3 linked regions of the Canis lupus familiaris genome follow. The protein of the gene in region 1 purifies or fractionates together with the protein of each later gene. This does not show direct contact. Links are inferred from orthologs where the notes say so. Each region holds a gene or a part of one and is shown in the gene's direction. Other genes may lie near its edges.

Evidence for each region.
Region 2: the proteins of EFTUD2 (region 1) and PRPF6 purify together in Homo sapiens (affinity purification with mass spectrometry; 6 studies listed by BioGRID and IntAct, with this or other methods). This does not show direct contact. The link is inferred for Canis lupus familiaris from reciprocal best matches to the Homo sapiens genes EFTUD2 and PRPF6.
Region 3: the proteins of EFTUD2 (region 1) and ZNHIT2 purify together in Homo sapiens (affinity purification with mass spectrometry; 4 studies listed by BioGRID and IntAct, with this or other methods). This does not show direct contact. The link is inferred for Canis lupus familiaris from reciprocal best matches to the Homo sapiens genes EFTUD2 and ZNHIT2.

Annotation. Positions count from the first base shown.
Region 1 is NC_049230.1:18,486,220-18,489,864, forward strand, and holds part of EFTUD2 (116 kDa U5 small nuclear ribonucleoprotein component), read left to right. Parts: intron 1-98; coding exon 99-177; intron 178-2,230; coding exon 2,231-2,306; intron 2,307-2,794; coding exon 2,795-2,860; intron 2,861-3,630; coding exon 3,631-3,645. UniProt on the Homo sapiens protein: Required for pre-mRNA splicing as component of the spliceosome, including pre-catalytic, catalytic and post-catalytic spliceosomal complexes. Component of the U5 snRNP and the U4/U6-U5 tri-snRNP complex, a building block of the spliceosome.
Region 2 is NC_049245.1:48,284,639-48,288,383, forward strand, and holds the start of PRPF6 (pre-mRNA-processing factor 6), read left to right. Parts: upstream 1-1,375; 5' UTR 1,376-1,390; coding exon 1,391-1,401; exon of another isoform or gene 1,402-2,012; coding exon 2,013-2,081; exon of another isoform or gene 2,082-2,289; intron 2,290-3,097; coding exon of another isoform or gene 3,098-3,188; exon of another isoform or gene 3,189-3,256; intron 3,257-3,745. Other genes in the region: SAMD10 (sterile alpha motif domain-containing protein 10), read right to left, coding at 1-47, 410-581, 657-1,103. UniProt on the Homo sapiens protein: Involved in pre-mRNA splicing as component of the U4/U6-U5 tri-snRNP complex, one of the building blocks of the spliceosome.
Region 3 is NC_049239.1:52,582,753-52,585,669, forward strand, and holds ZNHIT2 (zinc finger HIT domain-containing protein 2), read left to right. Parts: upstream 1-1,077; 5' UTR 1,078-1,143; coding exon 1,144-2,337; 3' UTR 2,338-2,380; downstream 2,381-2,917. Other genes in the region: delta(14)-sterol reductase TM7SF2, read right to left, coding at 2,719-2,879. UniProt on the Homo sapiens protein: May act as a bridging factor mediating the interaction between the R2TP/Prefoldin-like (R2TP/PFDL) complex and U5 small nuclear ribonucleoprotein (U5 snRNP).

The DNA of each region.
Region 1 (3,645 bases):
TTATTTTAAAAAAAATGAAAGCTCCGTCTAATGGAATGGGGCTCTGCATTTTTATGTTTCATGCCAACCTGTACATCACTTCTTTTTTTCTCCCCTAGAACCTATTATTAAGCCAGTGAAAACCAAGAAATTCACTCTGATGGAGCAGACGTTACCTGTCACGGTGTATGAAATGGAGTAAGTTATAAGGTCTCAGTGTGGGTTCATTTTTCTGTGGAGGTAGGAGGTAGTTTATGGTTGAAGTACCTAGTAAATTGTAAAAGTAAAAATCCTCTCCTACAATTTGCCAGAATTTTCCTTGAGCATACATGTTTGCTGGAATGTGTAGAGTCCATCTTAACTTTTCTCCTGCCTCTCCTTCAGATCTCAGCCTTTTCTCTTCCAATTCTTTAGTTGGGTATTAGAAGCTGGCCTTTGAGACAGAACTGGGGATTGTAATCATCAATGTTGGGGCAACCAGAGCCTATTTTGACTTGGTGAGAATGCTGTTTGGGGAATATAACAACTCTTTATTATGGAAAGGAAATATTCTACATGTGTAGAGTACTTTAGATTCTTTGTACTGCAGACTTTCTGAAAATATTTTCATTGATGAAATGCACTTGTAAGGTCCTCATATATTGAAGTGCTTAGAACTCATTTATTAGATAATGAAACTTTTCTTTGTTTTAAACATGTTGAAATCTACTGTGTCTAAAAGAGTGGGATCTGGGCAGCCCGGGTGGCTCAGCGGTTTAGCGCCACCTTCAGTCCAGGGTCTGATCCTGGAGACCCGGGATCGAGTCCCACGTCTGGCTCCCTGCATGGAGCCTGCTTCTCCTTCTACCTGTCTGTGTGTGTGTGTGTGTGTGTGTGTGTGTGTGTCTCATGAATAAATAAATAAAATCTATTAAAAAAAAAAAAAAGAGGGTCCCGGGGTGGCTCAGCGGTTTGACGCCTGCCTTTGGCCCAGGGTGTGATCCTGGAGACCTGAGATCGAGTCCCACATTGGGCTCCTGGCATGGGGCCTGCTTCTCCCCCTGCCTGCCTCTGTCTGTCTGTCTCTCTTTGTTTTGAAGAATGAATGAATGAATGAATGAATGAATGAATGAATGAAATTAAAAAAAATAAAAGAGTGGGATCCCTTCTGAAATGGTCAGCCCACCTGCCAACATTCAGCCATTTTTGAAAAACTTTTCAATTATCTTTAGAACTTGCTTCAGATTCCTGTGTGTTCTCAGTGGTGGTTTTTAAAATCTCCAATCTTTTAAAGTGGGCTTGATATTTCAAAGAGTCAAAGTCCTCTGAATTAATGTGGTAAGCAAGAAAGTGCCGTTCTGATCAAGATGGAACTCCTCAGCATCATTAATGAGATGGAGTTTTCTCAAAAGTTTTGTTAACTAGCTCTAAGGGCAATTTCTTTCTTTCTTTTTTTTTTCTTTCTAAGGGCAATTTCAAAGGAGAAGCTGGGGTGCCTGAGTAGCTCAGTCGGTTAAGCGTCTGACTCTTGATTTCAGCTTGGTTCACAGTCTCAGGGTCATGGGGATTGGGCCCCACATCAGGCTCTGCACTCAGCCTGGAGTCTGCTTGTCTCTTTCCCCCTGCATCCCCCTCCCCTCTCTGCTCGCTCATGCTTGCTCTCTCTCGCTCTCTCTCTAAAATAAATTTTAGGGATGCCTAGGTGGCTTAGCAGTTGAGCGCCCGCCTTTAGCTCAGGGCATGATCCCACGGTCCCGGGTTCAAGTCTCACATCGGGCTCCTTGCATGGAGCCTGCTTCTCCCTCTGCCAGTGTCTCTGTCTCTCCTTGTCTCTCATGAATAAATAAAATATTTTTTAAAAAATTTATTTTTAATCTTTAAAAAAATAAAAGGGAAACTCTCAAAGTGATTTTAAATCCCCTTTGCATCAATGAAATAAATGTGTGGTATCTAATCTGAGGATTTTGAAAGGGACAGTGCTGGTGTATGTGCGTGCATGTGTCCTTATATTTGGTTTTGCCTTTCTTGCTTACTTTTGAAATCTCATGATTTTGCTCTTGAAACCCATTTCATGGGTTGTGTCATGTCATGGATAAGTCTGTTCCATTTCCAGAGCCAAACCCATATAGATGTAGAAATTCACATCTGCCTCTGAGCATTCTCCAGTTGGTCTGAAAATTGTTCCTGACAAAATTCATGAAACACTTTTGTACCACTTCCCATTTGGAAGCTTTTGCCAAAGTCCCTTTTCTCTTTTCCTTTCTCCTTTCAGCTTCTTGGCAGATCTGATGGATAATTCAGAGCTCATCAGAAATGTAACCCTCTGTGGCCATCTCCACCATGGCAAGGTGAGAGAACTTTCAGCTACTTGGAACACGATTTCTCTTAGTTTCTGCTCATTTATTCAGGCCTCAGAGTCACAGTTGGGGTTTGAGGCCATCATGATGGACCTCTGATAATGGGGGACCTCCATGCTTAGTGTGAAACTGTGCTATGAAATTCTAGCTTTTCCTGAACAGTGGATGGAGCCTGTTTCTAAGCCACTTGCAGCCTTGTGTCTACATCTGTACAGAAGAGGAGAAATTGAGCCTTACTCTCATTTTATAAGTTTTCATTTCCTGGGGGAATGCTTGTCCAAGAAAGATTTCATCTTTCATTTGAAGATAATCCTATGGCTTCAGTGGCTTCAGTATTAATCCCTTGCTGTCCCATAATCCTCCTTGCTCTCCTCTTCCTCTCTTTATCCCTAAATTAGGTGGTGTTTTGGGCACTGAGGGAAGGGTAGAGTAGATTTTCCTTTGTGCTTGGCACATCTTAACCTTCTCTTCTCTTTCAGACGTGTTTCGTAGATTGTTTAATAGAGCAGACTCACCCGGAAATCAGGAAGCGCTATGACCAAGATGTAAGTAGAAATTCTGTGGAAGGTTTAGGATGAACCATTCAGAATATACAGGGGTGTCGCTCTCCTTCCCCTTCCTTCTCACTCTCATTATAAATAATGACGCCTACAAAGCGCTGCTTTATAATTGTAATCTCTATTCATAGCCTTAAAGAAAGTAATTTTAACTTTCTTAGGAGACTAGAGAATATTAACCTGCAGTATTTTTGGATGATCTGTTCTGCACTTGGGATCTTTCCTCTGTTCTGATATATCCTGACTTTTATAGCCTATTCTTTCCTGTCATGGTATTAATAGCCTACTCTATAAATATAATACAATTGGACCTTGTTGTTTTCTGTGATAAATTTAAATGCCTGTGAATGAGGCCAAATGTGGCTGCAGGTCTCAGCGCAATAAATGTTCCATGTCTGCTAGATTGAGTGTTTTGACGTGTGGGGGGTTCCATAAAGGCTGGATGTGTCTCCCTTTACTACTTTAGGATTCAGTGCATTTGATAGAATTTAGCTCTCTCCAGCCATACCTGGTCCTCAGGGACCACCCTGACCCCCTCCTACCCAACCCCCCTCCAAAAAAAAAAACATCCATCCGGGAGCATTTTCTATCTGAGAGGGCCTTGGTTTTTCTGTAGGATACCCTTCTGTCTTCCATCTAACCTCCTGAGACAGAAACCCTTGGGTTGGGAGCTGGTGGGGGAAAGTGATTGATGGTTTGTATGGGAGAGGAGTCTGGAGTCAGGTGGTAACAGCACTTCATTTTTTTTTTTTTCCAAGCTATGTTACACTGAC
Region 2 (3,745 bases), on another chromosome or scaffold:
CCCCATCCGTTGCAGCTTCTCCCCGTTCAGCCGCAGCAGCGCCCGGCCTGGGAGCCAGGGGTTGAGCAGAGAGGGGTTGAGCCAAGGTCAACCTCCAAGGGGCATTAAGAGCCGAGGCAGAGAGAGGGAAACGGGAAGGGGACACAGAGACACTCAAGGACACAGAAGGAGAGGCGGAGACAGCAGGATTTAGAGAGGGAAAGAGAGTGAGAGGCAGAGGGGAGGGCAGAGAAAAGCCATGAGAACGGAGCAACACGCCGGGGAGACTGCGGAGAGAGAGCCCTGGCAGGAGAGGTTGGCCCAAGAGGAAACCGAGGAGAGACAAATGACGGCAAGAGAGACAAAGGCAGGCTGGGGGGGCTCTCCAGGGGATCCTTATGCCCCCCCATGCCACAGCCCCCAAGGGCACCTGTGATGGCGTGCTGGGAGAAGGCCTCCACGTAGACGAGGTAGTTGTGGGGACAGTGCTTCTTGAGCCACTTGCACACGTCCTGCTGACTCCACAGGACCACAGGCCGCGTCAGGCCGCCCAGGGAGGGACTCGTGTGGTACAGGCCATAGTGGTCAGAGTACATCCGGCCCTGCGGGGGAGACGGGTGCCGGGTGCGGTGAGGTGGTGGGAGGGCAGGGGCTGAGGGGGGACGGCGGGTGGGTACCTGGGGGGCCTCTGTGCCAGGCTGCTGCAGGAGCTTGACCGGCCGGCCACCAGCGGCCCTCTGGCTACGGGAGTCGTGCCATGTGAGGCTGGTGCCTGGCGTCCGAGGCAGGTGGCAGGGGATGCTCTCAGCGGACACCGTGTGCTCCAGGAGGGTTCGGCAGAAGCTGAAGTGTGCAGTGGCTGCGGGGCATGGGCGCCTGGTCAGGGCGGTCAGGGCCGGGGCCAGAGGATCGTCTCTCTGCAAACCAACTCCCTGCTCAACCCATCTTCCCTTGAACACGAGGCCCCTTTTCCCAATCGGGGGGCCCCAAGCCCCCAGGGACAGGAAGGAAGTGCGCAAGAACGGTCCTGCGTAGCCCGCCCAGCCCAAAGCTGATGGCCTGGGAGCATCCTTCCTCTTCTGGGCGCACTGGCCGTGCTCTGGGGAGCACGAGGGGTTCCGCATAGGTTCGAGAGACAGTGTGCCCACCGGGGAGCCTAAGGTTCACAGTCTGGTGAGGAGCTACCCTGAGACAGGCCTCGTCTCACCCTCGCTCTAGGCTGACGCACGCTGAGCCAGACCAGGGCACGCTGCGGCCCCTCTGTCCTGGGAGGCCCTGCGTCACGGCGTCCCCGAGAATGCTGCCTGCCATCGCCACTGACGGCACCCCAACTCTGCAGCCATACCTGGCGTTTGAGACGTGGCTCCTGCCGTGCGGTGCTCACCTGCCAACCCCTCGGCGGGAAGCCTGAATGAACTGCAGGCAAGCCACCCCGGGAACCCTGCTCTGCCACCTGTCGCAGGGCCCTTGGCCCAGGACAGCTCCCGTGGGTGGGCATCCAGCGGACATGGGCTGCTCAGCACAGGTGTGCAGGGGCCAGCCATGAGCTCGGGGAGCCACGGGGACACCTGGCGCTTTCTTTCCACAGACTTCATTACACTCCTCAAGTTTTAGTTTCGCTGTCCTTCCTGGGCTCGTTGCTCACATAGGTCACGGGAGGGCAGACACCCTAACAATGGCCTCCTGACCCTTGCACAGGTCTGGGCACACAGCAGGTGCCCAGGAACACTGTGGCTGGCTGGCTGGGTGGATGGAGAAAGGCTCTGTGTGGTGTCCACAGCCAGTAGAGCCCTGGGGAGAGACAGGAAGCTGGGCCCAGGCTCGCCTTCATCTTTACAGCACCTAGGCCCCAACTCGGCAGGCAGAAGCAGGTTCTCGGCCAGGGCCCTCGCCTCCCTGGCTCTCAGCCCTAGAATGAGAGACCCTGCCTTCCATGGACACAACCCAGTGCCCCCAGCTGAGGGCAGGGAGGGGTTGGCTGTGTGCCCAGGAGTTCTCAGCCATGGGGAAAACCCATCACTTCCCCCTTCTAGCCCTTCAGATTCCTCCGATTCAGCACGCCGTCTTCATACTTGCAACTTTTCGGAATTGGATGACCCCAGGTGACTCTAAATTTGAGGTCCAGGATCAAATAGAGGGTGTGCCTGGTGCGGTCCCTGCCTGGATGAGGTTTCTGATATCACGGAAAAAGACTTATTCTAAGCTGGCATCTTTCAGGGCACAGGTTCCAGAGCCACTCGGCCTCGCCTTGCAGGGCCTGGCGGAGTGGGCTGGCCGGGTCAGGGGCAGAGGCAGAGGCAGGGGCAGGGGCAGGAGCAGGGGCAGCGGCAGGTTCAGGGGCAGGAGCAGAGGCAGGAGCAGGGGCAGGGGCAGGGGGCAGGGGGCAGGAGCAGGAGGCAGGGGGCAGGAGCAGGGACAGGGGGCAGGAGCAGGAACAGGGGCAGGAACAGGGGAAGGAGGCAGGGGCAGGAACAGGGGCAGGAGCAGGAGCAGGGGCAGGAACAGGGGCAGGGGCAGGAGCAGAGGCAGAGGCAGGAGCAGAGGCAGGGGCGGGGGCAGGAGCAGAGGCAGGGGCAGGAGCAGAGGCAGGAGCAGGGGGAGGGGAGGAGCAGGGGCAGGAGCAGGAACAAGGGCAGAGGCAGGGGCAGGAACAGGGGCAGGGGCAGGAGCGTGAAGCTCTGGCCGAGGTGGGCGTCGCCGCGGCGCTGCACCTGTCGGGGTCCAGCGGGCCCCGCCCATTTGCTGCCCAGGCTAGGGGAACGATCTGCGTCTTTCTGTCTGTCCGCCCGTCGTTCCGTCCCTCCCTCTTAGCCCCAACGTCAGAATTCCACCATGAAACGGGGCCGGGGGCGTCCAAGCCCAGCTGTGGCCTCGGCTCCTGTCGGCCCCACGGCGGAGCAGGGGAGGGAAGGGCGCGCAAAGGGAAAGGTGACCGCGGGGTGGGCCAGCGGGGGGCAGGAGCCCCAGCCGTAACCTCCTCCAAGCCAAGGGTGCGCTGATGCCCCGGCCCGAGGCCACCCCCCATCAGGACAAAGGCACCAGGGACCCCGATCGGCCAGGATGCGGCCCCCCTCGGCTCAAGCCGCCGCCCGCCCGCGCCGTGGTCAGCCCTGCTCACCGTCCACATCCCGGCGCTCCCCGAAGCCGGCGCGCACAGCCCCGGCGCGGCCTCGCGGGGGGCTCAGCTTGGTCCTCAGCTCCGTGAACATGGGGCCCAGGGATCCGGGCCGCGCACACGCCCCTCGCCGGGCGCCAGGCGGCCGTGTGGCCGGCGGGGAACGCGCGCCGCCTGCCCGCCCCGCCCGCCCCGCCCGCCCCGCGCCCGAGCCGGTCCCCGCGCCCGCCGGGCGAGTCTGCGCGGCGAGGCACCTGCTCCCGAGCCCGAGCCCGGGGCCGGGCGCGCTCGGGAGCTCCGCGGTCTAGCGGCGGCGCGCAGCTCTGCTCTGCAAAGGGAGCCTGCGGGGGTCCGGGCGACCTTGCAACCTGGCGGTGGCTTCCAGGACGAGCGCCTGCACCTCCCGGGGGGCCCACCCCCCGGGGGCCTCTGAGGCGGGGAAAGGAGGAAGCCAAGGTCCCGGCGGGAGGGCGCGGGCCGGAGGCGGACATCCTCCCTGGTCCTGGGATGGTCGGTCCACCGAGGCCCAGGTGGAGGGCCAGACCGACCCCTCCATTTCTCACTCCTTTATCCTCGCCTTCTCCAGAGATCTCTCCCTCAAGGGGCACTTGCTCCCCTAGGAGCCTCCCTTAACCCACCGCAGGGGACTCC
Region 3 (2,917 bases), on another chromosome or scaffold:
CCCATGCACCGGGAGCCCGACGTGGGATTCAATCCCGGGTCTCCAGGATCGCGCCCTGGGCCAAAGGCAGGCGCCAAACCGCTGCGCCACCCAGGGATCCCTTGCTTCCTTATTCTGATAAGGGCATGCTTTGTGGTTTTTTTCTGTAGCTGGGGTAGAGTTCAGTACCTGGTCACAGTGGCCTGAGATGGCTGCCCAAGGTGCAATGGCTGTACTTGTGCCAATGTTAAACTTGAATGGCCCTAATTTTCTCGGCCTCCACAGGACTAGATGTGAGGGACTAAAGAACCAGAGCTCACTTCCCCGGGTGCCATGGATCAAGGCCTCAAACGAAGTTCCATCAGGCGAGGGATCCCATCTCTGCTCCTCGTGTTTTGGCACATAGCATGGATTCGGTACTAAAAGTCGGATGAACCGGGGCAGCCGGGCTGGCTCAGCGGTTTAGCGCCGCCTTCAGCCCAGGGCGTGATCCTGGAGACCCGGGATCTAGTCCCACGTCGGGCTCCCTGCATGGAGCCTGCTTCTCCCCCGCCCCCCCGTATCTGTCTCTCATAAATAAATAAATAAACAAACAAATAAATAAATAACATCTTTAAAAAAAATAAAGGTCGGATGAACCATGGATTTGGAGGGGAAACCAAACAGGAGCTCAGTTACCTGTTCTTTCTTCTCAAGAGGGGAAACACCTCCAAAAACAGAGTCTCGGCCACGTAGTCCATATTCACCCTATTTCTACATCTCGCTTTACTGGTCTCTGTCCCGTAGGAGAACGGCTGCCCCTCAGCTCAACACGCCTCCTTCCCCAGGGCCCTGCGCAATTAGTGGCCCGAGTAGGGCCTCACGAAGATCGACTCCCCAAGGGCGTTTTATAGCGCTCAAAAAGGAGCCACTGGGGGGCGGGCGGGCACCAGCGGAGCTCCGGCTGCGCACCAGCCCCCTCGACCCACGCCGGCGCCGGCTCGAGCGCTACTAGATAGAGGGGTGGGGCTTGGCCACCGAGCAGGGGCGGAAGTTGCCGAGAGTCCTCGGGGGCTTTGACCACGCCCCGTCGGCCTTGCCCGGAGGCGGAAGTAGCCGGTTAGCGCCGGAAGTTGCCCCGCGCGGCCTGAGAGCGTTCGTAAGCGGCGCGGGGCGCCCGTTGCCATGGAGCCGGCCGGGCCGTGCGGTTTTTGCCCGGCCGGGGAGGCCCAGCCCGCGCGCTACACCTGTCCTCGCTGTAATGTGCCCTACTGCTCCCTGCGCTGCTACCGGGCGCATGGCACCTGCGCCGAAGACTTCTACCGGGACCAGGTGCTGGGCGAGCTTCGCGGCCGCAGCGCCTCGCCCAGCCGTCTGGCCAGCGCCCTACGCCGGCTGCGTCGGCAACGCGAGACCGAGGACGACCCCGAGGACGCAGGCCTCAGGCCTGGCCCGGCGCCAGGCGGGCCCTCCAGACTCTGGGAGCTACTGGCCCCGGCAGAGAAGGTGGCCTTCGAGCGGCTGCTGAATCGTGGCGAGGCCGGGCGGCTGCTGCCCCCATGGAGGCCGTGGTGGTGGGGCCGCGGGGCTGGGCCGCGGCTTCTGGAGGAGGTGGGTGATGCTGCGGACCGTGACCCTGCGGAGCTGGAGCCCACCCCCGCGAGGACGCCCCCGGAACCCGTGAAGGAGGCCGCCGCTGAGCCGTTTCTCGAAGACCCTCCCGAGGCCTGCGCGCCCGCCGTGCCCACCCGGATCCCCGTGCTGGCCAGTCTGAGCCGCGGCCGGGCCTCGCCGCTCGTGCGCTTCCAGCTGCCCAACGTGCTGTTCGCCTATGCGCACACTCTCGTCTTGTATCACGGCGGCGACGAAGCACTGCTCTCTGACTTCTGTGCCACACTGCTCGGCGTTTCCGGAGCCCTGGGTGCGCAGCAGGTCTTCGCCTCTGCTGAGGAAGCCCTGCAGGCCGCAGCCCAGGTGCTGGAAGCGGGCGAGCATCCGCCTGGGCCCCTGGGCACACGGGGTGCCATACGCGAAGCCGCCCGCATCCTGATGGGTGAAAGCCCCGCCAACCGGAAAGGCTACACGCTGGCAGCCCTGGGGCACCTGGCACAGACCCTGAGCCAGGCCCGGAAGCAAGCTGTGGCTACGGAAGAGCGAGATCGCCTCTATCGGGCGCGGAAGAAGTGCCAGTTCCTGCTGGCTTGGAGCAATGAAAATGAGGCGGCCCTCACATCCCTGGCTCTAGATTGTGCAAGGGCCCATCGAGCCCATGCTGTGGCGGCCGAGGAGGTGGTAGCCCTCACCGAGGAGTTGGAGCAGCTTTGGGGAGGACCCCTGCCACCTGCTCCAAGAATTCTCATTGAGGAGCTCCCTGGCTGAACTGGGATCTCTTTGTCATTAATAAAGCTGGTCTTCCCTGTCAGCAGTGCCTGTTTCTGAGGAACAGCTCTTGCCCACCCCACCCCCAGACTCTTGGGCCCATAGACCACTTCAGCTTTTCCTGGATCAGAGCTTACCTAGAAAGTTTTAAACGCCCTGGCCCCAGAAAGGGAGGGAAGTGGTACCATGGTTTCTAGATGTTTATCCAAGGAGAAAGAACAGCCCCTCCACTCCATTTTTGGGCACTGGCTTCATTTCTCCTTGCTCCAGAGCACCTCTCCCGGGCTGTTCATCCCTGCTTGTTGGAGCTTGGAGCAGGGTAGGAGTCCAGTCTCCTGGTGCTGAGTGCACATGCCCCAGTCTGGGGTGAGTGGAGCTGCTTCAGTAGATGTAGGGCAGGATTCGGTAAGGCACACGCCGACAGTATTCATGCCAGGCCAGGCCATACTTCTGCAGGCACTGCTGCTCATCCCGAGCCTCACGGTGTACCAGTAGTGCCGTGAAGTAGAGGAGGTAGAAGTAGGGTAGCAGGTGAGACACTCCTGTGGGGAAGTAGAGGCTGTGATCGCTCAGCAGCCCC